Linked DNA regions of Xenopus tropicalis. The protein of the gene in region 1 purifies or fractionates together with the protein of each later gene. This does not show direct contact. Links are inferred from orthologs where the notes say so. Each region holds a gene or a part of one and is shown in the gene's direction. Other genes may lie near its edges.

Region 1 (3,994 bases):
GGCCCCCCCTATAGATTAGAGGAACGGAGCTTCCATTTGAAGCAGCGTAGGTGGTTTTTCACGGTGAGGGCAGTGAGGTTGGGGAATGCCCTCCTAGTGATGTGGTAATGGCAGATTCTGTTAATGCCTTTAAGAGGGGCTTGGATGAGTTCTTGAACAAGCATAGTATCCAAGGCTATTGTGATACTAATATCTACAGTTAGTATTAGTGGTTGTATTTATAGTTTATGTATGTGAGTATGTAGATTGGTAGGTGTGGGTTGTGTGTGCTGGGTTTACTTGGATGGGTTGAACTTGATGGACTCTGGTCTTTTTTCAACCCTATGTAACTATGAGTATGTAGTCTGCATAGGGCACCAACTCCCAGGGAGGCACCATCCCTGCTGCTCAAAAAAATCGTTTTTATATATTATAACATACCCCCAACACTGTCCCGCCGGTTTTTATAGCGCATCCCGCTGTCCCAGATAGTTCAATCAATCTATGGGGGCAGTGTCTATGGGGGCAGTGTCTATGGGGGCAGTGTCTATGGGGGCAGTGTCTATGGGGGCAGTGTCTATGGGGGCAATTGGGGGCACTGTTAGTGGGGCCCCTATAGTAGGTGTTTTTTTTATTATTTTATTTTTACTTCCGTAATATTTGGGGGAGGGGGCACAAAAGTACATTTCTGCTTAGGGCACCCATTTGGCCAGCAGCGGCCCTGCTTAGACTCAACATATTGGAGTGCAGCAGGTTGGAGATTTCAGGTGCATACCCTGAAAATATCTAACAATTCTAAATCGGAATATGTACTTTTAAGCAAACTGCACGCAATCCAGCAAGTGAAAGCGCCATACAAACCTACCTGCTCCTCACCGTCTGCCTCCGCTTCTCCGTTCCTATGGAAACGTTCCATTTCGTATCAGCCAATCACACGAACGAACGTCAAAGACTGTTGTTGGCCAATCAGAAAACATCTAGGTCCTTTACGTATTTTAAAGGCGAGCTTATTTGAATAGGTGTTTAACAGGGTGCCTGATCAAATTGCAAGTTTCATATGAAATTAGTGCAATTCTAGGTATAACTGCACATTATGACAATTGCTAGCATGTAGCCTCATTTGAGTCATAAAAAGGAAAGGGCGTTTTAACTTTGAAGGCCTGCGAGTACTGCACGCTGAGAAGCGTATAGCCGACGTGCGGGGTCCTTCGTGGCCTTGTCGCAGGAAGTGGCGTGTGTCTGTGTGTGTGAGAGCGGCGTGAGCGGGTAAGTTGCAATGAATGGAAAGGAAACGGGATATTTTCCTTGTAGCTAGAAATGAATCTCGCTTGATACCTTTAGGTGGATATACAGTAAGCACAGGGCCTGGCTGGGTTGCTAGAGGGTGTAGGAAGCAGCACGGCTAACTACATTTATTGTGTTGCCATATTGCATTAAAGGGAAAGTCCCCCCCCCTTTTTTTTTTAATCTGGGCAAAGTTTTCAAATAATGGTAATGTTTTTGCCATTTTTTTCCTCTAGGTGTAATGCAGTAAAAGTACATTTTTTATGGTGTCCTATCTGGGGTGGATAACCCAGGGGCAATGATGTGACAAGTAGTAAACCCCCACATTACCTGGGTACCCTTGATTTGGTGTTGGGCCATTGGGTGTATGGCATAAGCCTTCCTCTTTTATGCTTTATACATTAGAGCAGAATGATGGATACCCTACTGTAGCTGCTAATTATGTCAGGGATGTCCAACCTGCAGTCCTCCAGTTGGCCAGACTACATCAGTCTGTATTATGGTAAAAGCTTAAAGGAACAGTAACACCAAAAATAAGAGCTTTAAAGTAATAAAAATATAATGCACTGTTGCCCTGCACTGGTAAAATTGGTGTGTTTGCTACAGTAAAGCTGGCCATACACGTGGCGATCTGATGATGTCAGATCCGCCACACACCGTCAGGGCTGAAACAGCAGATAAGGAGGTAGAAACAATAGGATTTCTACCTCCTTCTGCCGATTCAGCCCTGACGGCAGATTTCTATGGCGCCCGATCAAAATTTTCTAACCTGGCCGATCGGCGAGTCGTCTGATATCAGCAGCTTCCTGCGATATCGGTTGACTCGCCGACATGCCATACACGCACCGAATATCGTACGAAACGGGGTTTCGTACAATAGTATTGGTGCGTGTATGGCCAGCTTAACCCTACTATAATTTATATAATAAGCTGCTGTGTAGCCATGGGGGCAGCCATTCAAGCTGGAAAAAAGGAGAAAAGGCACAGGTTACATTGCAGATAACAGATAAGTTCTGTAGAATACAATAGTGTTTTATCTGTTATCTGCTATGTGCCTGTGCCTTTTCTTCTTTGAATGGCTGCCTCCATGGCTACACAGCAGCTTATTTATATAAATTATAGTAGACTTTCTGAAGTAAACACACAACTTTTACCAGTGCAGGGCAGCAGCACATTATATTTTAGTTACTTTTATACACTTTCATTTTTTGGTGTTACTGTTCCTTTAAGGTTAACTGTGGCTGTGGAACGTAGAGAGTCATAATTCATCTCTGGCTTATATTTCACTTGTAGAATGATCCTATTTGCCTTTATTTCTACTTTCACCTTATTCTGTTATACTGTTACCCCAATACAAATAATTGCTTCTTGATTTTAAGGTAACAGTTATAACTGTTGCTAACAGTTGCCGGCAAGAACATTAGTGAGTAGCCTTTCCTTTGTATTCACTTTCTGAGATAACATGTTGCATACAACCCAGCGTCCAAGGGGAGTGGATAGAGTTGGGCAGATGCATGGATAGGCAGTGAGCAAAGCAGTGCTAATAAACACCAGCCTGTTTGCTGCTGGTGGGGAAGTAGGCTGGCAATAGATAATGGCTCCTTGGGTCTCCTTTCATCTGACTTTAAAGAAAAGTTGCCTCGAAACCTTGATTTTTTTTATTTTTTTAAAGGAAAGAGAGTATTCCTTTAATGTGTGTATTTGTGGTGGGGATTCTGTCATTGACCAGTGAGTTTATTTATTTTTTTATATTTTAAAATAAGGCTCAGCTAAAATGGACGCTGACTTGTACGATGAATTTGGTAACTACATTGGGCCTGAATTGGATTCAGATGATGATAATGATGACGATGACATGGGGAGAGATGACAGGGATGTGGATGTGGTAAGGCAATTCTCATTACATACATACATGGCCTGCACATGAGACCTCTGTAACAATAAAGCCAAAAACATGAAGATGTATTAATCAGGGCCTACCATAGAACAACAATTTTGTTAGTCCCTTTATATACCCGCACCAGAGAATATGTGGCACAACACCAAATTACCATCATGCAAGTGCCATGGATCCTATATTTATGGCATTGCATGGGTTAAAGGAGAAGGAAAGGCTAAGTCACTTGGGGGTGCCAAAATGTTAGGTACCCCCAAGTGACTTAAATCACCTTACCTTTTACCCCGGGCTGGTGCCCCTGTTCGGAGAGAATAGCATTAGCCCGGGGTAGCTGCGAGCGCTTCCTCCTTCCTGCTTCGCTTGCATGCGCAGTAGAGTGAAAAAGACGAACTTAAACTATAAAGTCGGCTTTTCACTCTACTACGCATGCGATTGTCCTGGGAATTTGCCTGAAGCGCAAATACGGAAGGAGGAAGCGCTCGCTACAGGTACCCCGGGCTGGTGCAATTTTCTCCTAACAGGGGCACCAGCCCGGGGTACAAGGTATGCGGTTAAAGTCACTTGAGGGTGCCTAACATTTTGGCACCCCCAAGTGACTTTGCCTTTCCTTGTTGTTTTTATTGTAGTTGATTTATTTTTTTTATTGTTGTCAATGTAAAGCCTCACTAAGTCTATAAAAGTTTATCGGACTCTCAGATAATATTTATTCTTAAATTGCCACCAAATACCCTACCAAAAGAAACTGGACACATATTAAATATAAATGTCATGCTTTCTTGAGCATTGTAGAAATACCATCCCCTGATGGCATTTATACAATGCCATGGTGCATGG
Region 2 (4,051 bases), on another chromosome or scaffold:
TCCTCTTTACAGCAAACATTTGTATTTCATTGGTTGCCATAGGTTACTTCATCAGGACAGTTTTGCTCTATGTTAGTCAACATATAGTGCCCAGGGAGAGGCAGCAGGAACCTGACCAGGCCAAATGGGGTATAGGGGGCACTGCATATAAAAGAGTAACCCAGATCTACACACTAGCTCCAGAGAAACAGCCTATAACAGATATGAGATACTTTTCCTGTGGCTATGCATAGGTTCAGGTTTGTAGTTACATGGCGTAAGATTTCATTCCTTTATCATTATTGGAAAGTGAAAAAGAGCTCTTGTTTCTATGCAGTATATTCAGGCCTCTTAGTGCAGCCAGCCTCACCAGAACTGAAACATTTACTCCATAGCATTCTGCTCAGTTGACTGCAAAAAGCTGAACTATGGTTGCCATGGGGTTCTGCATCACCGTAGGGCATGCATCTGTTTGTAAATTCCCCCCTCTGTGAAATGTGTTGGTGTGTATGGCCACTTTTATATGGAGCAGTAGTGTTGGTTCATGGTAAGCAAATTAATTACTCTATAGTTGAATGCAATGTAGACCAAAGATGCTTTCCTCCAGCCTTTCCATCATCCTTGGATATAGCCATGCAGTAGCTAGGGGGGTTGCTTGTGGTGTAGTGGCAGAGGTATGCTGAATATTCTGGGCCTCTGGGGATGAATTATTTAACACGGTGTTAGTCTCAGTAGCTTTGTTTTGCTTGTTCCTGGATAGACAGTCTGCCAGTTTAGCCCATCTTTTTTTGTATGACCAAAAAAAAAAAAAAAACAGCTTCCTGGTTACGAATTGTCCAGAATAAGGCAGATTTTTAGTGCAAATGTTAGTAAATCCTTTCAATTAGATAAACTGCTCACCTGCTTGAGCTGTTATTTCACATCATACTCCCTGTCAGATGGCTTGTGTTGCCTGGTGTGACAGGGGTGTATGTAGTTGCTCTTGAGTACTATAAGAGTAAAATGACTCCAGTTCCATGAATTACCCGTGTGTTTTGGGTATCCTATAGCAGGACAGTTTGCCTTGGTTCTTACCATCCCGTATCCTATTGTTGGAGAATTTGCTTTGCAAACAACCTTGATTTGTTACTAGGAAACCGTTTGTTAACGGGGAAGATCCTTAGGGCAGACTGTTAGGATGGTAATGACAGGCATAGGCCGAGGCAGTTTGCAGTTGTTCTTATATAAAGGTAGGGCTAAATGGGCATGAGGTGGACAAAAAACAATGTTCAGCTCACAACATGCAGGGGTGGGGCAAATACATTTGGAATTCTCAAGAGGTAATCTCACATTCTGTAGAAAACATTGGTGAATCTTTATAAGCCAATGTCTCCTGCATTTATTTTGCTGCTGAGTTGTAATTAGTATTTCATGCATTGATGTCTAAAGGAAACCGTGATCAATATTCATGGTTATTTATGTCTCATAGACAACCAAGGTGCCAGAGGTGCGAGATGTCACCCGGATTGAGAGGATTGGTGAGTGTAAAAATACTACAAAAATAAACACAAAAATAACCTGCTAAACATGATGTGGTTCCCATGTAGCCCTCCTATTCAAATAACTGAATATTTTAGAACTCATGTATTCACCTCCATTGCATCGTGACACTTTTTGTTTCCATGGGCAGCAGTGCAGTTTAATCAACAAACAGTCTCCTTGGTGATAAATAGCTACAGAGGGTTGTAACTTTGCTGCAATCCCAGGCATTAGCATCACAAAGTTCCATCACTATTTTCATTTACTTTCAAGCCAAATGTGTTTAATTTTATTTATCTAATTGCAACAACAATTTTAAACGCGCATTATACACCCCTTTTCAAAAATTTTGAGTGCTGAGCATAATTTTTTGCCTGTTTAAAGTAAGAAATATGTTGCTAATAAGGAATGCCCACAGTGCCTTTTTTCCTACACTTTGGTCAAGCTGTTGGCTCTGTGCCAGATTATTTTGATAACATATATATATACTATATATGATAAAATAAAACATATATATTGCTTAACAAATATCCAAATAATAAAATATTTCAAGGAAACAATTTGTACATGTAATTGCAAATGAAAGCAGTGTCTGTTTATGTTTTTCTCTAACTCGCTTAAGACAATATATATTCACCTCCATATCCATTAAATCAAACAGCGGCTTCCAAGCCAAAATTAGTTAAAGAGCCCCACACAACACAGAAACCCCTAATATACCTATCCCTGTAATCTGTTCCATTAAAAAGTATGAATAAATACCATTTTATATGCTGAAATCCAGCTGTAAAACATTTATTTTTCTGCATTTGGCATCCTAGCATTAGCACGTGTAACAGTGCATATTAATTGTATGAGGTAGTCTGGGTATGTATAGATTAATACAAAAGATATCCAACACATTAAAATTAGTCTGTGTTTTGTGTTTCCTACCTATTAACTGCTTATTTTTGTGTATATAGTCTAACATTTGTCTCTCTTTGCCAGGCGCACATTCTCACATCAGAGGGCTTGGCCTTGACGATGCGTTGGAACCCCGTCAGGTACTGAAAGCGCTCTAATACTATAATATGAATGGTTATGAATTTTTGCTTATAATGACACTGGTTAGCGTTAGACAAGCAAGTGGCAGATTGGATACGTGTCGATCTGTCCTTCCTTCTAAAAGTAAATTTAACATCATATGTGCAGGGAATTGTGGGATTTGGAGTATGCTGGCTGAAGGCAGGCTTGTCAGCCAGATCAGCAGGAGAACAGGGGGCAGGGCTAAGGGAACTGTTCTAAACCATATTACATACAGTGGTGTGAAAAACTATTTGCCCCCTTCCTGATTTCTTATTCTTTTGCATGTTTGTCACGCTTAAATGTTTCTGCTCATCAAAAACCGTTAACTATTAGTCAAAGATAACACAAGTAAACACAAAATGCAGTTTTTAAATGAGGGTTTTTATTATTTAGGGAGAAAAAAAATCCAAACCTACATGGCCCTGTGTGAAAAAGTAATTGCCCCCTGAACCTAATAACTGGTTGGGCCACCCTTAGCAGCAATAACTGCAATCAAGCGTTTGCGATAACTTGCAACGAGTCTTTTACAGCGCTCTGGAGGAATTTTGGCCCACTCATCTTTGCAGAATTGTTGTAATTCAGCTTTATTTGAGGGTTTTCTAGCATGAACCGCCTTTTTAAGGTCATGCCACAACATCTCAATAGGATTCAGGTCAGGACTTTGACTAGGCCACTCCAAAGTCTTCATTTTGTTTTTCTTCAGCCATTCAGAGGTGGATTTGCTGGTGTGTTTTGGGTCATTGTCCTGCTGCAGCACCCAAGATCGCTTCAGCTTGAGTTGAAGAACAGATGGCCGGACATTCTCCTTCAGGATTTTTTGGTAGACAGTAGAATTCATGGTTCCATCTATCACAGCAAGCCTTCCAGGTCCTGAAGCAGCAAAACAACCCCAGACCATCACACTACCACCACCATATTTTACTGTTGGTATGATGTTCTTTTTCTGAAATGCTGTGTTACTTTTACGCCAGATGTAACGGGACACGCACCTTCCAAAAAGTTCAACTTTTGTCTCGTCGGTCCACAAGGTATTTTCCCAAAAGTCTTGGCAATCATTGAGATGTTTTTTAGCAAAATTGAGACGAGCCATAATGTTCTTTTTGCTTAAAAGTGGTTTGCGCCTTGGAAATCTGCCATGCAGGCCGTTTTTGCCCAGTCTCTTTCTTATGGTGGAGTCGTGAACACTGACCTTAATTGAGGCAAGTGAGGCCTGCAGTTCTTTAGATGTTGTCCTGGGGTCTTTTGTGGCCTCTCGGATGAGTTGTCTCTGCGCTCTTGGGGTAATTTTGGTCGGCCGGCCACTCCTGGGAAGGTTCACCACTGTTCCATGTTTTTGCCATTTGTGGATAATGGCTCTCACTGTGGTTCGCTGGAGTCCCAAAGCTTTAGAAATGGCTTTATAACCTTTACCAGACTGATAGATCTCAATTACTTTTGTTCTCATTTGTTCCTGAATTTCTTTGGATCTTGGCATGATGTCTAGCTTTTG
Region 3 (4,295 bases), on another chromosome or scaffold:
ACAAAATGCAGCCCATTCTTCCACATTGGCACATACTGACACAGGTGCACAGCATTAAACTCAGGCGGTACGCATCAAGTTGCGTTTCACCTGCATCAGACGCTTGGATGCACAGGCGGTATGCAAGAGAAATCGACCACAGGGGTAAATGCCCCAAGTTTACACAGAAAAAAACCATCCAGCAAAGCCAGACCCACAATACAATTATTGTAAATGTGTGTTTAGTACCCATATTAAAGGTTAAACAACTTTAACAACAGCAATTGTCAGGACATACATCTCTATAGAATGCTGACTTATAAATACATCCTGATTATACATTTCCCAGGGGGTGGCATCAAAATGGCATTAATTCTTGGAAAACCTAAAATCTGAGGGAAAAAAACTCCCTGTATGGGGGAGTTAAAATATGGGTCAAAAATTAGGGTTCTACTGTAAATGAAGTCACTTATAGGACATAAATTTATAGGTTACACTCTTTAATTAAGGCACATATTTTTCTCTACACAATGAAAAACACTTTTCTCCCTAAGTTATCTGGGCAGGGCCCTCTTTACCTCTTGTATCAGTTATTGGTTGTTTTTATATGTAGCCATTTATTGTTCAGTTCTGTGGAATTTGTTGGCACTTTATAAATAAGCGTTCATAATAATATCAATAAAAGACAGTCAAAAAATAGCTTGCCTACTCCCAGGGACTGGGGTCATACTAAACTTTCACCAATTGTGTAGGGCCACCTTTTGTATTTCTGAGTGGCCAAAAATCCCATACATTCCACCCATGAATTTGATAGCAGTCCTGCTTTTAGTATCTTCATTTATTCATCACCATAGGACACATGTCACACACATATACCACAAAGCACCACTAAGCAATGATAAACATTACATCATCTACTACATATCAGGTATACACTAACAATGTTTAGTGGCCACGCAATATGAATGAACAGATAAATAGGTAGTGCTCATGAATTGTTTGTGTTTGGACTCCATATACACACACTACAGACAGTCACACATTAAAATGTGTAGCACCTATAGAATGGGAGGCATGTGAAAGCAGCTAAATACATTCACTAGGTCAGCGCTTTGTGGCCATGCAGTTATTCATGCAGGGTGAGTGCAACAGATCGTGACAGTATTTACAAAGCTATCAATATCCATATATGTATGTGTGGACACATATTCAAACCCATAGGAAGCAGCAATAATGTAGATTTATCTTAGCTGTAAGAAAAACTCGAGTATAGGGAATGCGCTGTAATGTGCTGGTACTAGTACTTCTAACCTTCGCACGCAATGAAACTATATGTTTCGAGAGAATTCTCATATATCTTATATATATTAACGCATCACTATAATACCATTAGCGACTACCTGTGCCTGTTGTCCGATCAGTCTCTGTTGAACCCGCCCCCTGTACCCAGATATTAGCTCCTCCTCCCGGAAGCGCTGGCTCCCGGATACTCGGGTGTACTTGCTCTTTTCGCAGCATGGCGTCCGTCACCATGACAGCCGCACCGGGATGCGGTCTCACAATGTGATTGGTAGTTGTCCAGAAACGGAAACAGGCAATTGGCTGGCGTTCCAAAAGGCGCAAGACTAGGAAGTTGGGTAGTGGGCGGTCTTGGTGGAAGTTGTCAGAGCGCATTGTGAGTAGCTGGTTGTTATACGGTCCTGGTAAGAGGTATTAATAGAGGTTTAATCTAAAGATTTACAGGGTCACGGTGTTACGATAGTCTATTGCAGTAGCGCGGAACAAACAGATCTGGAACTTAGTGATATGCACAGGGGCCCGTTCGTTTCGCATGCCTGTTTTGGCTGGCTAAGCACATGGCTCTCAGGCTGGCACTTATTGCCGTGGTTGGCAGACACTTTATTTAATTAAAGAAGAACCTCCCTATTATTTGTACATACTTCAGGATTAATAGCTATGTGTTCAGGTTCTTGTCAGTGCCAAAATCTGTCCTGGTTCCTGTTATCTTATTTATTTATATAGCACTAGAACATTTCAGCGGCGCTTTAAATTTTAAAATCATTTAACAAACAAGGGTCTTATGGTATTTTAAAAGGGTTGTTCACCTTTGAGTTAACTTTTAGTATGATGTAGAGAGTAATATTCTGAGACAATTTGCAATTGGTGTTCATTTTTTTTTTATTTTTCGTAGTTTTTTAGTTAAAAAGGAGAACCAAACCCTAAAAATGAATATGGGTAGAAATGCCATATTTTATATTATAAACTGACTACACTGGCTTAAAGTTTCAGCATCTCTATAGTAGTAATGATATAGGTCGTTACAGTTGTCACAGGAGCTCCCCATCTTGGATTCTTGATTCTTGGAGTTTCAGCAGCTATCTGTTTGCTAGGGTCCAAATTACCATAGCAACCAGAGAGCAGTTTTAATGAGAGGATGGAAAATGAATAGGAGAGGACCTGAATAGAAAAAGTAGTTATAAAAAGTAACAATAAAAATAAAACTGTAGCCTCACAGAGCAATAGGTTTTTGGCTGCTGGGGTCAGGGACCCCCGTTTAAAAGCTGCAAAGAGTTGGAAGATAAAGGCAAATAGATCAGAAACTATAGGAAATAAATAATGAAGACCTTTTGAAAAGTTGCTTACAATTAGCCATACTATAATATATTAAAAGTTAATTAACTTTAATTGTAAACCACCCCTTTAACAGTTTAGGATTGGTGGGCCAAGCTCACAATCTAAGTATGTTCAAACTGTTTACCAATCAGCTCTGTTCCAGCAGCAAGAAATGTATTTCATGAAAGGAAAGCAAGGGGTAGTTCTCCTTTACAAGGCACCTATCATGGCCAAATTGTTTCCCCAATTGGTCAGAGAATGACCCTAGCAAGCCCTATACCACCTGCCCCAGGATGAAGCTCCAAGGATGGATGGCCATGTTTGGTCACATGCGTGTAATGAGCGAGTCTCCTGTACATGCCCAGACTGGCAATTTGTGGATTCTGTTAATTGCCGAAGGGGTCACTGTAAAATTCCAAAGACAGTCACTAATTATTGGACTGGTAGGGTACTATGTACTTGAAATGCCAGGGCCTATTTTAAATCCCAGTTCGCCTAGCTCCTGGTTTATTAGTTCAGAGATGCTGGGCACTGCAGCCAATGTTTGGGGACAATTATGCATCGCAGGCACTGAAATGAACATGCAGGAAATACATCCCACCTGTGTTTTAACTTCTCCCCCCTCTTAATCTACCTTCAGATTAGGGTTGTGGCAGACACAAGAAGCCTATTGCATATCCCCTCCTTTTTTTGAGGGGTGGAGGGGTTTATTTTGATGGATGCTGGATTTAAAATACTATATAATATTTAATAATAGATATATATAGTAAAGCATTTCTGTTTTTAGCACTTTTTGATTATTTAGAGGTACTGTTCTTCTGAATGTAGCACTTTTTATCTTTAATTTTTTTTTTTTTTTTCTAAAGGTTTAGTATGCATTCTTTTTGTCTTTACAGGTCTAATAAGCACAATGCCTGATACAGCTGAGAAACAAAGTAATGAGGTCAAGAATCCTGCTTTGGAAAAATGTCTTGAGGTTCTGAAAGGAGCACAGACTGACAGTGAACAGTTTGCTGCCCTGCTTCTGGTGAGACTGGTGTTTGTACTGTGCTAAAATGTAAATATACTTTTCCACTTGCATTAAGCAAGTGATTACTAGTTGGTTGATTCACATGCAATTAAATTGTATGAAGTGCTAGTTTGTTGCACAAACTGATCGAGTGCTGTAGGGCACCACAAGTTAATGAACAAAAAAAATATTTATTTACATTAAATAAATCCAAAGCTTTTCGACTTGGGGGGGAGAGTTTGGTTGGGTTTATTTGATGTAAATTGTTTTTGTTCGTTAACTTGGAGTGCCCTGCAGTTACTCGATCAGCTTGTATTTTCCAACTATATAATCTACTTCTAGTAGATTAGAAGTGGTGAGGATGTTCAAATGACCAGATCTTTGAAGGATTTGGTCATTACCAAGCCAGTGATAGTGTTGTAACAGTGACCTATGCTACCTAGAGAGAATCACATTCATAGGCTGATACTTCCTCAGCTACTGGTATTTTTTAAACCTTTCTGATTTATTTGGTGATCCCTGGCCAGATATTGGTTGATAGGTTATTTGTCTTTTCGTATACAGGAACCAGTAAGCCAAGAGTGCTTTAGAAATTTTACTGGTATTTGTTATGTTCTTTTAACAAAAGATTATTATGTACTGTAAAACTACTTTTTTCTTTATGCATTCATTTTATTCTTTAAAGGACAAGGTA
Region 4 (4,050 bases), on another chromosome or scaffold:
GGCCAGGTGTATTACTTTTGTAATAGTTAGTACTACATTTTTATAATAGTTGGGAGTAGCCTGGGGGGGCCTGTGGAAAGTGTAACCTAGGAGCCTCGCATGACATTAATCCAACACTGAGCTAGGTCCCTATTTCATATTCATATATATTCTAACACACCATGGTTACCAAGCAGAATCATGGTGCAGTTAGTGGGCTTGCTTTATAATGCTAGAGTCCTGGGTTTGATGCACACTAAAGCTACATTTTTATTTGTTTTTTTTATGTGTATGTTCATAGGAATAGTTTTGGTTTTATGTAGTTTATTTTGAGACATACGATTTAGGAATAAACTCGGGGTTAGATTAGATTTTAACAAAAAAAAATGTATACAAATAAAATTCACTATTAGTGGTCTTTATTTGGGGATATTAGGTTTAGAGTTAGGCCAGGATTAGCCGACAAAATATAAGTTTTTCCATATCAAGAAAAGTGTATTTTATTTTGGGATATTAGGTTTTGGGCTAGGATAATGGTTTGGCTAAAATTTAGAACTGATTTCTTTAATTGCCATTAGTAGTCTGAGCACTGAATATACTATATCTGAGGATCTGGCCTCTATAAACACACATTCTATGCAGGGAAACCAAGGAACATGATACCAAAAATTGTGGGTGTGGCATATTGGGGACCTGGTGACATCACTGAGCATGGGAAAAATCCCTGTTGATGTCACTTATGCACAGGATGTTCTTTTTTGGCGCTAAACACTGTAGGTACACTGCCATTAAAGGAACAGAAACACCAATTAAAGCATGTATAAAATATAACGTTCAGTTGTTCTGCACTTGTAAAAACTGATATGTTTGCTTGAGAACCCCTACTATAGTTCGTGTAAATAAGCTGCTGTGTTGCCATACTGCATCAATTCAGTATGAACTAGTTCTAAATAGTGCGGGTTACATAGCGTTAGCCCATTACAGATAAGCAGTGTAGAATACATTGGGTTTAGTTCTAACGCATGAATCTTCTTAGCCTACAAAGTACATCTGCTAGGTAACGTGTTCTCCTGAATGGCTGCGCACATGCTACACAGCAACTTAGTTGTACAGACTGCAGAAGTGCAGACTTTGTCAACTTGACAGCTCAGGTATCTGTGGGGAAGGCCGCCCACTTTTTTTAACTGGGTACTAGGCGCCGCCATACACTTTGCACGGCGGCGTCCGGCGTCACTACGTTTAGATACGTGCGTATGACGTCACGGTGTGGCGCGGTGAGGCTCCTTTAGCCGTGGATTGTTTCTCCTGTCGTAGGGAAGGAGCTAGAATTTAGCCGCGTCGCTGGCCTGTGCGTCGAGTTAAGAAAGCCGATACTGTCCGGGAAAGGGCGATAGCCCCTCTCTGATGCAGTGTATCTACCATGGAGCGGGTACAGTCTGACTACGACTCTTATGCCATAGAAGAACCCAGTGATGAGGAGCCAGCAAATAGCAGGTAAATCTATCTATACATTTAGGGGTATATTTATCATGCTGTGTAAAAAGTGGAGTGAAGCATTACTGGTGATGTTGCTCATAGCAGCCAATCAGCAATTAGATTTCAATTGCTGCTATGAGCATTTACACTGCATGATAAATATACCCTTTAGGGTTCATTTATGTTTATTAATAATGCAAACGTTCATATTTACGCTTAAATACATATATTCTTTCTGAGTAATAGCACATAGATTACAGGGTTTTTAGGCTTCTAGCACACAGACTGGAAAGTGCCTGCAATTCTGCCTTGTTGCCATCATTTCCACGTTTTACGAGTATTTGAGACAAATTAGCACCTTATTGTAACGCCCTTCTCTCTTTTTATAATCCCTTTCAAAGCTCTGAGGATGAACTAGATGTGCTTTTACACGGGACGCCTGATCAGAAGCGCAAGTTGATCCGTGAGTGTCTAACCGGAGAAAGCGAATCATCCAGCGATGACGAATTTGAGAAAGAAATGGAAAATGAATTGAGCTGTAAAATGAAGACCATGGAGGGAAGCTGGCAGCTGGCTGTCCCCGGTGTGTTAATAGGATTTGGTGATTTAATTTTTATATATTCCTATTAAGGTTAGATCTGACTAGGGATTTATTATTATTTAACATGAAGTCTGATAAATAATATAACTTGGTGTCTCTGTATAGGATAATGACCTTTGAGGGTCTTACTTTTATTTTATGCTCCTCTTGTCCCTTTTTGTCTTATTTAGCTGAATAAACTGCACAGTAACCAGTGTAATGTACTATGTGAATTAAAGTCTTGGCTGTGGAGTTATATAGCATTATATATACTATTTTACATTTTTCGGTACAGTTTAATATTCTATACACAAGCCCATTTCTGACCACTTGTATGTTTTTTCCTTTTTGTATTTCAGTTGCATCCACAAGTAGTGGCACTACAACTTCCAATTCCACTAAGCCCGAGTATTACGATGATGTGTATTTTGATTCGGATTCAGATGATGAAAGCTCCAATGGTAGATCCATCTGTTAAGTGCTGTAGTTTGTGTGTTTTTTTTTCTTTTTTTTTTTTTTTTTTCTTTAAATATTATGTATAGAGTCACTAAGTACCAGATAAGTCATGATGTAATGTAGACTCTTGTATATATTATATAATTATATTCCTATATAATTGTGTGTGTGTGTGTGTGTGTGTGTGTGTGAGATCTTAAGGTATTTTTATTATCCATTAAAGACCCAAAAGTGCAGTTCATTCTATTTAATGGATGAATTGTAAATGCTGGGAAGCATCTAGGCACCGTTAAGGAAAACACAGCTCAAAAATTCAGGGGTGTGGGGTGCCAATTTGTGAGGCACCTACCCCAGTTGGCACCTGATATCCTGATCTTGTAAGCATTTTATTTAAGATTAAGATCAGATTATGCTTCATTAGCAATGATGTCATGTTGAGCCCAGAGAGAGGAGGCAAGATGTGCTACTGCACCACTATACAGTACCAGGATTGGCATTGTTTAGAGCACCAGGTTTTCCAGTAATGGAAAAAAGGTGCCTCGCAAATTTACACCCCTAGGATTTGGACTTCTGTTAATGTTTTCAAGGACAAAGAAAGCCTTATCCATTGGGAAATGGCAATACAATTAGGCACCTTCTCCACCATCCCTGTGTATTTAGATGCTAAGTTTTTATCCCCAGTGCATTTTAGGTGGAAATAATACACCAGCCAAGGGGGGGGGGGGGGGGGGGGAAGTAGCATAGCTTTGCCATTTTGCTTAGATTTCCCAGCAATTCCTTAACAGTCCTAGACTTTTACAAGTAAAGTAAGGGTAAGAACTCACAGAGCGGTTGTGTCGTCTGTGATAGATCTCTGCTATGGCGGGCAACAAACCCCTCCAAAAAGGCTTTCCACTGCCAACAATAGGAGTCGCCAGGGAAAGCCCTTCACAATGCTTCGGTAATCTGAAGTCGCGCAAAGTTTCCTCCTGCAGGCAACTTCGGAAAACGAAGAGATGCGAAGGGCTTTCCACCAGCGACTGTTGTTTCCAGTGGAAAGCCTTTTCGAATTGGTTTGCCCCCCCCCCCCAGGCGACAATACTGCTCCGTGGGTTCTTACTCTAAGGTTTACATAATATTAGTGGCACTGTCTTCCCCTCCCCTTAATTAGGGCTTTTCTTGTGCACCATCTTGGGACTTATATTTTCATTGGTTGTTTATGTGCATGTTGTATCTGGTTTGCAGCTGTTTATATAACTTTCTCTACGTATTCTTTGTAATGTTTGTCGCTTAACATGAGCTGGCATGTGTGCAACTTATCTTAAAGTTAGTAAAGGGTGGTGTGCTTGGTAAAGGGTAGAATGGGCAGTCATGACAAATACAAAAAAATGTCACTTGTTGCTTCATTTTGTATTATAGTGTAAAATTGTTTTGCGTGTGCTTTTCACTCCCATTTTTTATTCTTGTCACTTATCTGTTAGGGATTTGTTTATGCATAGACTGTACACATCTGTATATATTTCTCACATCTATCTCTGTGGTATTACAGTTGTTCAAAAGAACAAGCAGAGGCGTAAGCC
Region 5 (4,181 bases), on another chromosome or scaffold:
TTAATGGTTAAATGATTCCCTTTTCTCTGTAATAATAAAACAGTACCTGTACTTGATCCCAACTAAGATATAATTACCCCTTATTGGGGCAGAACAGCCCTATTGGGTTTATTTATTGGTTAAATGATTCCCTTTTCTCTGTAATAATAAAACAGTACCTGTACTTGATCCCAACTAAGATATAATTACCCCTTATTGGGGCAGAACAGCCCTATTGGGTTTATTTCAATGGTTAAATGATTCCCTTTTCTCTGTAATAATAAAACAGTACCTGTACTTGATCCCAACTAAGATATAATTACCCCTTATTGGGGGCAGAACAGCCCTATTGGGTTTATTTAATGGTTACATGATTCCCTTTTCTCTGTAATAATAAAACAGTACCTGTACTTGATCCCAACTAAGATATAATTACCCCTTATTGGGGGCAGAACAGCCCTATTGGGTTTATTTCATGGTTAAATGATTCCCTTTTCTCTGTAATAATAAAACAGTACCTGTACTTGATCCCAACTAAGATATAATTACCCCTTATTGGGGCAGAACAGCCCTATTGGGTTTATTTAATGGTTAAATGATTCCCTTTTCTCTGTAATAATAAAACAGTACCTGTACTTGATCCCAACTAAGATATAATTATCCCTTATTGGGGGCAGAACAGCCCTATTTGGTTTATTTAATGGTTAAATGATTCCCTTTTCTCTGTTATAATAAAACGGTAACTTGTACTTGATCCCAACTAAGATATAATTACCCCTATTGGGGGCAGAACAGCCCTATTGGGTTTATTTAATGGTTAAATGATTCCCTTTTCTCTGTAATAATAAAACAATACCTGTACTTGATCCCAACTAAGATATAATTACCCCTTATTGGGGGCAGAACAGCCCTATTGGGTTTATTTAATGGTTAATTGATTCCCTTTTCTCTGTAATAATAAAACAATACCTGTACTTGATCCCAACTAAGATATAATTACCCCTTATTGGGGCAGAACAGCCCTATTGGGTTTATTTAATGGTTAAATGGTTTTAAGCAGACGTAAGTTATGGAGATTCAAATTACAGAAAGATCCCTTATCAGGAAAACCCCAGGTCCTAAGCATTCTGAATAACAGGTCCTAAACCTCTACCATATTAGCCATTGAAATAGCCTGGGTGCTTCCAAAGCTTGCAATGTTTACTTACTCAGGTGACTTAACTAATAAAGGGTATCTCCTAACCTTACCTTTACCACTTTTACAATTACTTCACACTATTGCAGCTGATAAACTACAACTCCCATAATGCCTCTCCTCTCTCTTGCCAGGGAATTCCTCTCACTTGCCGGGGAATTCTGGTAAATGTTGTTCCGCTACCGCTAAGGGCGCAGTTGTTCCGCATGCAATGCTAACCTCCAGCCACCAGAGGCCGCTGTGGGGAGTTACTGTATGTTCGCTATGCGCTGTGACTAGCAGTAGAGCGGCGGGCACGCTGGTGTGTGTGCGCGTCACTTTGCACAACAAGCCGGAGGCCGCTTTCCCCGTTTCTCTCCTTGCTACACCGTGCGGGCCCGGGGCCCCTAACCAGCAGCCAGGATGCCGCGAATTATGATAAAAGGCGGGGTGTGGCGGAACACCGAGGTGAGAGGGGTTATGGCGTTGTGTAGCGGCTCAATGAACTCACATGGGCGCCTTGATATTTCCAACAGGGGATTCTGGGAGTTGTTGTTCACAGGGTCCCAGCTTGTGCTTTGGCCTTTTCCCTGTTAGTGTTTCAGGATTGTAAAGCTGACCAATTGCACAGGAGTATTTGAGTGAAGCTGAGCTGCTTAATTATAGGAAATAATAGTGTAATTTAGGTGCAGGTAACTAGTTCAATGTGCCTCTATGGCCTGTAGAGAAAGCCAATATAGGTGGGCCAACTTATACTACAACTCCCAGCATCCCATTGCTCGCCAGATTGTTTTGTGATCGAATTCCAACCAAGGTGTGTTTTCCTATAGCAACGAATCAGCAGATTGCATTGGTTGTCAATTGGTTGCTATGGACTGCAGCCACTGGGGGTTATGCCTTAGCTATTTGCATTATAGTCTCAGTCTTCATTTTTAATGTGGGGTTTTTATTTTAAATGATTAAGCTGTTTGTTCAGCAGCTCTCCAATTTTGAATTTCATCTGCTATCTGGTTGCTAGGGTCCACTTCATCCTAGCAGCTAAGCAGTGGTGTGGAAGGTGAATAGAAGAATGGTCTAAATAGAAAAGTAATATAAAGTAAAAAAAAATAAAATTGGGCTCAGTGCCCTACGTTTTGAAAGATGGATAGGGACAGAGGGGAAGGGAAATCCATCAAAACCTTTAAAAAAAAAAAAAAAAAAAAAAAAATATATATATATATATATGCATTTTGCTTCATACTAAGATACCCCTGTACCCTATGTCTCCCTCACTTCTCATGTGTGGTGTTGATATACTATAACGCACTTTCCTCTTTATTTTCTCAGGATGAAATCCTCAAAGCGGCTGTTATGAAATATGGGAAAAACCAGTGGTCTCGTATTGCTTCCTTGCTGCACAGGAAATCGGCCAAACAGTGCAAAGCCCGATGGTACGTCCCGGCCATTATAGCCACGGGCCCGTAGCGTTCCATACGTTCCTGTTCTAATATGAAACCAGATAAACTGCCCCGCAACAGCTGGTATTCTGCATTGGTGGAAGGGGGGGGGGGTAAAGAGAATGGGCAAAGCAGGCATGGAAAGGGTTACACATGCACATAATGCACTGACAGTCTATCCATATTGTCTGTAATGAAGGGCATGGTCATGTGACTGAACATTGGGCTGTAAAGCTCTGCGTATATTGATGGCGCTATATAAATAATGATAATTTGGGTTACACCTAGAAATGCACCTTGAAGAAATGTGTATACATACATGTAGCAATATGTATTGCTACAATACATACATACATACCTACCTACATACATACCTATGTACATGCATACATACCTATATACATACATATTGATATATTAGCCCAATATTGCACCCTGAAAACATTTAGGAAATTGTTTCAGTGTGTAATCTTCTGCTATGAGCATTTAAAGTATTTTAAGTTTTTTAAAAAGTAAACATAATTTCAAGCAGTATATATCAATTAAAAGTATGCAGCCTTTTCATGGTTTTTAATGTAATAATATGGTTTGGAACAGTTCCCTAAGCCCCGCCCCCTGTTCCCCTGCTGATCTGGCTGGCTACTTTGTGACTCAAATAAAATGTAACAGTAGTCGCCTGTCCCCAGCCTGCCTTCAGCCTTCATCCTCCCAATCCCACAATCCCCTGCTGCACACGTGATGTCAATAAGGAAAGGAACATCCTAGTGCAATGCATTGTGGGTTATGTAGTTCCTGCATGCTGTCTGTAAGCTGTGGAGAAGTTGTTACAATCTGTAACATCAGTGTTTTAGTCCCTTCTCCCCTGCCAGGATTTCAAATGATGCAGAAAGAGAAGGACTGTTTTGCAGCTGGATTTCAGCATATAAAAATGGTATTTATTTTTACTTTTTGACGGAACAGATTTCAGTGATAGGTATATTAGGGATTTCTGTGTTGTGTGGGGCTCTTTAACAAAAAACAGAGTGATATCACAGTCAAATTAAGTTCCATGCTTTCACTTAGATTTGTTGGCAGACAAGCTAACAATTACCAAGTGCCCTTCTGAATATCTGTAGTAACATTGGTTGCTAAATTCGTTTAATGTCTCTGTGACAGGTATGAATGGCTTGACCCAAGCATCAAAAAGACAGAATGGTCCCGAGAAGAAGAGGAGAAACTACTTCATCTGGCCAAGCTGATGCCAACTCAGTGGAGGACAATCGCTCCTATCATAGGAAGAACAGCCGCCCAGTGCCTTGAGCACTATGAATATTTACTGTACGTACCATTCATTCTGAAAATGTACATTTGAATTGTTGTTGAGCAGTTTGAACAGTTGTTTTCTGATACAGCAGTGTGAATACGTTCCCATTCTATCAGGCAAGAAGTAACTGTACCCTTAACCAGAAGAGGAATTTGATATGGGTTTTTTTCTTAATCGCTATTGTGTCCTTTGCTTGTTTTTACCCCATACTGAGGTATAGTTTACCAGCCCAAACCTGATTATTAGGGATTCTGACCATAGCATTTGCTAGTTAAAGGACCAGTAATTT
Region 6 (3,500 bases), on another chromosome or scaffold:
ATTTCCACTCACCACTGGCTCTCTGGTAGGAGAGCAGGTGGGAACAGGGGTTTATATGCAAACAAATCTGGGCAGACATGTCAGTGCAAAGGGAGAGGTGGGAAGAGGGGGCCAGGTGTTTGCTACTCTGCGCTAGGTCCTTCTGAAGGTGAGCCTGGTGCAGAGTTGTTACCCCACTGCCACAACCCCATCCTTCTGTGCTTTGTAAGTAAGTTGGGTTTATGATTCATAAAAATGTCAGTGAAAGCTATTATAAATTTTAAAAGAATTCAACCAAACCCAAAACAAAAAATGTATCCTCATAATGAATCTTTCCCCCAGCTCCTCCCACTGGGGCACTAACCCCTCCAACCAAAGTTTTTAAAACTTCAGAAATAGGCAAATAATTAAAATGCCGTTAAAATATCTTTAGAGAATATAGTTGTACTTTCTGCAGGCTTCCCCTTTTCTGATTTGCTTTTTTCAGAGGACCTTTGGTATTTTTTTCTGCCAGTGGAGAAATAAAAAAAAACAAACATCAGGAAGAACTAAAGCTTAACTAAAGAAGTAGGCTAAAAATGTTATACATTGTTTTGGGCATCTGCACACAAGCTTTTTCATTGTTATAACATTAAAACTTGATATGCATAGTGAAATATCTTGCTTAAAGTTGTCACATTTTTAATCTAATTTAGGCTGCCTTACGACAAATAACTGATAAAGCTCGTGAATTTGGAGCTGGTCCACTATTCAATCAGATCCTGCCCCTGTTGATGTCACCAACACTTGAAGATCAAGAAAGACACTTACTTGTAAAAGTCATTGATAGAATTCTGTATAAATTGGATGACTTGGTCCGCCCGTATGTACATAAGGTATGAATTGCTTATCTGTATTTATTTAGATTTGTTTTACTTCTGTTAGTACATTATTTCTTAACCCCTGCATTGCAACCCATTCTTAAGGTTATCACTGTGTTGTAGATAGGTCACATGTAAGAAAATTTGGAGTCCATGTCATTTCTTTTTTTTTTTTTTTTATACTAACATAATTGTATACATCCAATATACTGATAAAAGTTTGCCTCGACACCTGCCCTAAAACATGGTTGCTGAAACACATACTCATAGATATACATATTTACACATGTAACAGAGCACTCATTGTGCAAAATTTTAATGGTGTAAGTCGACGTTTCATCCTACCCAGATGACCTTTATCAAGACATCACAAACAGTTCCCCAAACGAAACAAACTGAAATAGTCAGTAGTGGCTGAAAATTTACACCAAAGACCCACCCCATGACATAATAGGTGTGAGGAGTACACTGTAGATTACATCACCATGTGGAGATCGTTAAGGTGATGAGCAAAGAGAGATACGAGTAGGTAAAATATATTCAATAGTGCATATAAAGTGCTATAAAATTGGGTGTCCAAATGGTAGATAAAATCATATAACCCCATGGGCAAGAAGAAGAAGTGGAAGAGGGGGAAAAAAGAGAGCCTTAAAGGGACAGTAACACCAAAAAATGAAAGTGTATAAAAGTTATTACTATATAATGTAATGCTGTCCTGCACTGGTACAACTGGTGTTTTCCTTAGAAAGACTACTATAGTTTATATAAATAAAGCTTCTGTGTAGCCACGGGGGGCAGCCATTTACAGGAGAAAAGGCACAGGTTACTTAGCAGATAACAGATAAAACCCCATTATATTCTACAAAGCTTATCTGTTATCTGCTATGTGCCTGTGCCTTTTCTCCTTTTTCCCAGCTTCAATGGCTGCCCCCCGTGTTGACATAGCAGCTCATTTATATAAACTATAGTAGTGTTTCTGTTGCAAACTTACCAGTTTTACCAGCGCAGGGCAACTGTACATTATATTTTAATTACTTTAAAACACTTTCATTTTTTGGTGTTACTGTTCCTTTAAAAATAGATGAGGAAAAATGAGGAAGTAACACGTAAAGAGCCTTCAGCCCAGGCATAGGTTAGCAGAATGGCAGCATTTGTAACACTGCAGTGTCATGCGGTTATCCTGGGAAAGAAAATATATGATCAGCCTCCTGAGAGGAAACCGTCACAATGGCTGAGAGCAGCACTTTACTTGGGGTTGCAGACTTGTATAGTTATCATGAATATCCATGCTGAGCAGTAGGGGTGCCCCAGAGCACTACTTTGCATGAAAAAGGTTCCATAGACTGAAGACCATAGTATAAATAATCCACATTGAGTGGCATACTCGCGGCAATGCCCCGGCACATTAGTAGTGGCATACTCGTGGCTCAGATAGTAGAGTATATAACAACAAAGAAGCTGCATCACAGAGAAATAAAAGCAATGGATGAGGCACAGGTTAGCCCATTACTGGAGGTATCATGGCAATTAAGGGCTGCCTAATCGCCGGTTTAGATGACAATATGTTTAGGTCAGAGTAACCCATGGTGTCAGGGATAGAAAGGGGAGAGAAGAGAAAAAAGGAAATTAAAAGGAAGAAACTAATAGAGCCATGGTCATATTAAGTTGTCAACAGTATATCAAGAGGAGACAGTGGCTGAGCAAATCCTAAGTAGAATCCACATAACCAATATTATAGAAAATTAGATCATGTTCTATGTTCATATCACGTCAAGAGGAAATATTAGATACCAGTAGTAGCATATGCATATTAACAGTAATTGTCATTACAGTAGTAGAATAAGTCTCATGGGAAGCAGCGGTAGCTGACTTTGTTTAGTACATTACAGATTGTTCAATCTACATTCCATTTGTAGAATACGCTGAGCACTGTTCCCACCCCTGGGTGAGGGTAGGCAGTGATCTATCATCATACATCTCATGGAATATAATGCACGTCCCTTTTCAGGGAAGTGTCTAGCTACAGGTGTTTTAGAACTGCCCTTCTCTAGAGCTTCCTTAATGGAGAATTGGGGATTAATGCAATGATTTGCCATCCTGTCCTGAAAGAGGTGTTTGTTTTCCCAATATAGTACATGCCACAGGGACATGTAATGAAATATATGACAAAATCAGACAGGCAGATAAGATAGTGACGTATGTAGCAGCAATTGCCATTTTGTGGACGTGCGAAAGAAGGACCAGTTATAAGACTGTGGCAAGCAGTACAATTAGGGCAGCGGTAGCACCCACGTTATCCTTCTGTTGGGGGGGATTTGCTGGAGGAAGAATAGAATGGACCAACATATCTCTAAGATTGCATCCTCTGCGAAAGCCTATGCCCGGTTCTTGCAATTATCAGTTTGTAAAATATTCCAATTATCCTTGACAGTCCTTAGAATATGTTCAGCACCAGGGAAGTAGGTTGTAGAAAAAAAAATAAACGTTCCAGGGCTTGTGTTGGTGTGTGAATTTCTGTTGATAGCCATGTTCATTGCACTTTATTACACTCTTGAATATACTGTTATTTTACCAACTCGTATCTCCCTTTGCTCGTCATCTTAACAATCTAAACACTGTGAAGTAATCTACAGTGTACGGTTCACACCTATTATTTCATGG
Region 7 (3,799 bases), on another chromosome or scaffold:
GCCCCTGTGTGTCACATGACTCCCATTGGGGGCATTTCTACTGTAAATAACCGGTCTGTGCTGCCCCTGTGTGTCACATGACTCCCATTGGGGGCATTTCTACTGTAAATACCCGGTCTGTGTTGCCCCTGTGTGTCACATGACTCCCATTGGGGGCATTTCTACTGTAAATACCCGGTCTGTGCTGCCCCTGTGTGTCACATGACTCCCATTGGGGGCATTTCTACTGTAAATAACCGGTCTGTGCTGCCCCTGTGTGTCACATGACTCCCATTGGGGGCATTTCTACTGTAAATACCCGGTCAGTGCTGCCCCTGTGTGTCACATGACTCCCATTGGGGGCATTTCTACTGTAAATACCCGGTCAATGCTGCCCCTGTGTGTCACATGACTCCCATTGGGGGCATTTCTACTGTAAATAACCGGTCTGTGTTGCCCCTGTGTGTCACATGACTCCCATTGGGGGCATTTCTACTGTAAATAACCGGTCAGTGCGGCCCCTGTGTGTCACATGACTCCCATTGGGGGCATTTCTACTGTAAATACCCGGTCAGTGCTGCCCCTGTGTGTCACATGACTCCCATTGGGGGCATTTCTACTGTAAATACCCGGTCTGTGCTGCCCCTGTGTGTCACATGACTCCCATTGGGGGCATTTCTACTGTAAATAACCGGTCAGTGCTGCCCCTGTGTGTCACATGACTCCCATTGGGGGCATTTCTACTGTAAATACCCGGTCAGTGCTGCCCCTGTGTGTCACATGACTCCCATTGGGGGCATTTCTACTGTAAATACCCGGTCTGTGTTGCCCCTGTGTGTCACATGACTCCCATTGGGGGCATTTCTACTGTAAATACCCGGTCTGTGCTGCCCCTGTGTGTCACATGACTCCCATTGGGGGCATTTCTACTGTAAATAACCGGTCTGTGTTGCTCTCAGGCTGCAGCTTTGGTGGAAGAGGAGACCAGAAGATATCGGCCTACAAAGAACTACCTGAGTTACTTGCCCACCCCCGACTATTCCGCATTTGAGGTAATGGCTTTCTCCCTATTCTGCAGCACCCTACACTGGGTGCCCCTCTGCTCTATTCACGGTGGTTGCACATTGGCCAACCAAATGGCTTCCCTGCTAGAGAACTCACCCTGGCAACTAAGAACCTATTGCTCTGTGAGGCTTCAATTTTATTGTTACTGTTACTTTTTATCCAGCCCCTCCCCTATACTCATTCACACCACTGTCTGGTTGCTAGGGTAAATTTGACCCTAGCAACTTGATATCTCTGCAAAATATTAATACTTCATTATTCATTCTGCTACTACTCGTCCTTATGTCTGTCAGTTCTCCAAAGATTGCTTTCATAGTCCCATAACCCCGAGGGGTTTGCATGCACAGAGCCCACCCTGGCACCTACTGGTGCTAATATCACGTGGGTGGGGGGCATGTTCCCTTCACAGAGGAGACCAAGATTCCAACTTTCATTCATTTTATTTAGACTGAAATCATGAGGAACGAGTTTGAAAGACTTTCGTCGCGCCAGCCCCTCGAACTGCTCAGCATGAAGAGGTGAGTGCCGTCTGGTTACTATGGGTTACTGGACCAAGATCTGTGCATTGCTTTACAGCCCTGTGGTTTCCATGTGGTCTCATTGTGCTGAAGGGTATCCGTGGAAATACCATACCCCTCTCTCTGATTCTAGGTATGAGTTACCGGCCCCCCTATCCGGCCAGAGGAACGACATCACCGCGTGGCAGGAATGTGTCAATAACTCCATGGCCCAATTGGAACACCAGGCCGTCCGTATAGAGAACCTGGAGCTCATGTCCCAGCACGGCTGTAACGCCTGGAAAGTCTATAACGAGTGAGTTGGGAACATGGCGTTGGGGGGGGGGGGGGGGGGGGGTGTTGATTTACAGCACAGGATATAGCATGACCCAATGATACTGCCGCCCTTCAGTCACGTGATTCTTCTGTCTCCTCCCAGGAACCTGCTGCATATGATCGACTGCGCGCAGAAAGATCTCCAGAAGTTACGGTGAGACGGCATTAAGCCCATACTAACCATATATATATATATATATATATATATATATATATATAATCCTTCCCTGGCCGTGGGGAAGAGAGCAGCCCAGAAGCAGGAAGTGCAGAGATTTAGAGCTCAGTTCCTGTGTAATTACTGGGATGAGCTTCGAGTTACCTACGTGGGGTAGTTCCTAGCCCTGGGGTATTACTAGCAGTTGCACACTTCCATTTTAACAGCTCTAACGCTTTCACTATTTGTCTTGTTACCGGAACAGGAAAAAGATTCAGGACTTGAACTGGCAGAGAAAGAACTCCCAGCTGACAGCAGGTGCCCGACTCAGAGAGATGGAGTCAACGTAAGTGAGATTTGTGCATTTTGTTCACACCTAGGGTGAACTTATCAAGGGAATACCTACTCCCCTATACTGTATTTCCATGAATGAAGTACACACAGGCTTTGAGTGTGCCTAGCGGGCTGTTCCTGCTGAACAGGGGAATCCCTATGCTGCCATAGTTTTATGGTATCTCTCTGTACAGGCTATGAGCAAACTTAGGGGGCTGTTCCTGCTGAATTGTGCTTAGTACAGGGGAATCCCTATGTGCCATAGTTTTATGGTATCTCTCTGTACAGGCTATTAGCAAACTTAGGGGGCTGTTCCTGCTGAATTGTGCTTAGTACAGGGGAATCCCTATGTGCCATAGTTTTATGGTATCTCTCTGTACAGGCTATGAGCAAACTTAGGGGGCTGTTCCTGCTGAATTGTGCTTAGTACAGTGTATGGTATTTATGGGATGCTAATATTTTAGCTTTAATAGAACTGGTAGTCATTTTCGTCTGTCTCTAACTTGCTTTCTGTGCCGGTTGCAGGTGGGTGTCTCTTGTGAGCAAAAACTACGAGATTGAGAGAGCAATTGTGCAAATGGAGAATGAAGTCTATCAGCTGAAAGAGAGGAGCGGGGAGAATAAGGAAAATATTGAAGATTATTAAGGCCCTGCCCCAAGGATTACAGGTTCCAGGGTAACAGCACCGGTCCTGCTGCAGAGACTCTGGCGCCATGTTGGGCAGCGCTGCTGGGGGTTCTGGTTGCTTTATGGCTCTTCACTCTGGAAATGTAGCGAGTAGTCTCTGCCTGGGTGCTGATAGGCGCAGGGATGGGTCTCCCTGTTTCACCCAAATGCCCCAGTGCTGCCTCGTAGGCCGGGCACATACCGGCTTTTATAAGGAAATTCTGACTTGTTTTTCACTGTAATATTAATAATAAAGTGTTTTCCAGAAATCTTCCACTTTTATCATCCTGTGCGCTCCTGGGGGTCTGTACTGAGCACCCCACACAACCGTAACCCTGGCCTGGGTGGGGGCACACCATTATATATTAGATAGCACCCCCGTCTCTGCACAAGTGCCTGATCTCACCAGAGGGAAATAGGTATGTTCTGAGCTGGGACGGATTTCCCACATGGGCAGCTTCGACAGATAACGGGTCATGTGTGTAACAGTGAGAGGAAATCAGCGTAAAAACCAATGAACTGTCTTCTATAGGCCATAGAGATACAGTGGGAAAGCCTGGCATTGCCCTTCCTCCTGGGTCTCATCTGTTTTTACAATGTTAATATCATGAAGGTGTAACAGGAGCGCCCCCTGCTGTTCTGTGCAGGCGGAGACACAAGCAGCACTGAGCCCAGAGACACTTCCAGCATCAGCAAATGAAACTTTTCCCCTATCTGTCTGGCTCTGACTTGGTGTGAATACTGCAAATAGCATGGAAACTAAAGAAGT

The links.
Region 2: the proteins of eftud2 (region 1) and ruvbl2 purify together in Homo sapiens (affinity purification with mass spectrometry; 5 studies listed by BioGRID and IntAct, with this or other methods). This does not show direct contact. The link is inferred for Xenopus tropicalis from reciprocal best matches to the Homo sapiens genes EFTUD2 and RUVBL2.
Region 3: the proteins of eftud2 (region 1) and ncdn purify together in Homo sapiens (affinity purification with mass spectrometry; 4 studies listed by BioGRID and IntAct, with this or other methods). This does not show direct contact. The link is inferred for Xenopus tropicalis from reciprocal best matches to the Homo sapiens genes EFTUD2 and NCDN.
Region 4: the proteins of eftud2 (region 1) and eapp purify together in Homo sapiens (affinity purification with mass spectrometry; 4 studies listed by BioGRID and IntAct, counting the BioPlex papers as one, with this or other methods). This does not show direct contact. The link is inferred for Xenopus tropicalis from reciprocal best matches to the Homo sapiens genes EFTUD2 and EAPP.
Region 5: the proteins of eftud2 (region 1) and cdc5l purify together in Homo sapiens (affinity purification with mass spectrometry; 6 studies listed by BioGRID and IntAct, with this or other methods). This does not show direct contact. The link is inferred for Xenopus tropicalis from reciprocal best matches to the Homo sapiens genes EFTUD2 and CDC5L.
Region 6: the proteins of eftud2 (region 1) and sf3b1 purify together in Homo sapiens (affinity purification with mass spectrometry; 4 studies listed by BioGRID and IntAct, with this or other methods). This does not show direct contact. The link is inferred for Xenopus tropicalis from reciprocal best matches to the Homo sapiens genes EFTUD2 and SF3B1.
Region 7: the proteins of eftud2 (region 1) and bcas2 purify together in Homo sapiens (affinity purification with mass spectrometry; 3 studies listed by BioGRID and IntAct, with this or other methods). This does not show direct contact. The link is inferred for Xenopus tropicalis from reciprocal best matches to the Homo sapiens genes EFTUD2 and BCAS2.

The regions. Positions count from the first base shown.
Region 1 is NC_030686.2:17,862,544-17,866,537, forward strand, and holds the start of eftud2 (116 kDa U5 small nuclear ribonucleoprotein component), read left to right. Parts: upstream 1-1,194; 5' UTR 1,195-1,245; intron 1,246-1,307; exon of another isoform or gene 1,308-1,331; intron 1,332-3,026; 5' UTR 3,027-3,037; coding exon 3,038-3,148; intron 3,149-3,994. Other genes in the region: ccdc103 (coiled-coil domain-containing protein 103), read right to left, coding at 845-895. UniProt on the Homo sapiens protein: Required for pre-mRNA splicing as component of the spliceosome, including pre-catalytic, catalytic and post-catalytic spliceosomal complexes. Component of the U5 snRNP and the U4/U6-U5 tri-snRNP complex, a building block of the spliceosome.
Region 2 is NC_030683.2:113,417,080-113,421,130, reverse strand, and holds the start of ruvbl2 (ruvB-like 2), read left to right. Parts: upstream 1-1,251; 5' UTR 1,252-1,447; coding exon of another isoform or gene 1,448-1,496; intron 1,497-2,484; coding exon of another isoform or gene 2,485-2,540; intron 2,541-4,051. UniProt on the Homo sapiens protein: Possesses single-stranded DNA-stimulated ATPase and ATP-dependent DNA helicase (5' to 3') activity; hexamerization is thought to be critical for ATP hydrolysis and adjacent subunits in the ring-like structure contribute to the ATPase activity.
Region 3 is NC_030678.2:82,060,958-82,065,252, reverse strand, and holds the start of ncdn (neurochondrin), read left to right. Parts: upstream 1-1,495; 5' UTR 1,496-1,654; exon of another isoform or gene 1,655-1,689; intron 1,690-3,488; 5' UTR 3,489-3,502; coding exon 3,503-3,619; intron 3,620-4,295. UniProt on the Homo sapiens protein: Probably involved in signal transduction in the nervous system, via increasing cell surface localization of GRM5/mGluR5 and positively regulating its signaling. Required for the spatial learning process.
Region 4 is NC_030684.2:108,121,522-108,125,571, forward strand, and holds the start of eapp (E2F-associated phosphoprotein), read left to right. Parts: upstream 1-1,250; 5' UTR 1,251-1,399; coding exon 1,400-1,473; intron 1,474-1,856; coding exon 1,857-2,056; intron 2,057-2,394; coding exon 2,395-2,496; intron 2,497-4,019; coding exon 4,020-4,050. UniProt on the Homo sapiens protein: May play an important role in the fine-tuning of both major E2F1 activities, the regulation of the cell-cycle and the induction of apoptosis. Promotes S-phase entry, and inhibits p14(ARP) expression.
Region 5 is NC_030681.2:148,162,113-148,166,293, reverse strand, and holds the start of cdc5l (cell division cycle 5-like protein), read left to right. Parts: upstream 1-1,381; 5' UTR 1,382-1,576; coding exon 1,577-1,621; intron 1,622-2,479; coding exon 2,480-2,583; intron 2,584-3,744; coding exon 3,745-3,906; intron 3,907-4,181.
Region 6 is NC_030685.2:45,880,922-45,884,421, reverse strand, and holds part of sf3b1 (splicing factor 3B subunit 1), read left to right. Parts: intron 1-674; coding exon 675-854; intron 855-3,500. UniProt on the Homo sapiens protein: Component of the 17S U2 SnRNP complex of the spliceosome, a large ribonucleoprotein complex that removes introns from transcribed pre-mRNAs.
Region 7 is NC_030682.2:7,012,579-7,016,377, forward strand, and holds the end of bcas2 (pre-mRNA-splicing factor SPF27), read left to right. Parts: intron 1-938; coding exon 939-1,031; intron 1,032-1,491; coding exon 1,492-1,562; intron 1,563-1,695; coding exon 1,696-1,857; intron 1,858-1,980; coding exon 1,981-2,031; intron 2,032-2,296; coding exon 2,297-2,377; intron 2,378-2,889; coding exon 2,890-3,010; 3' UTR 3,011-3,299; downstream 3,300-3,799. UniProt on the Homo sapiens protein: Required for pre-mRNA splicing as component of the activated spliceosome. Component of the PRP19-CDC5L complex that forms an integral part of the spliceosome and is required for activating pre-mRNA splicing.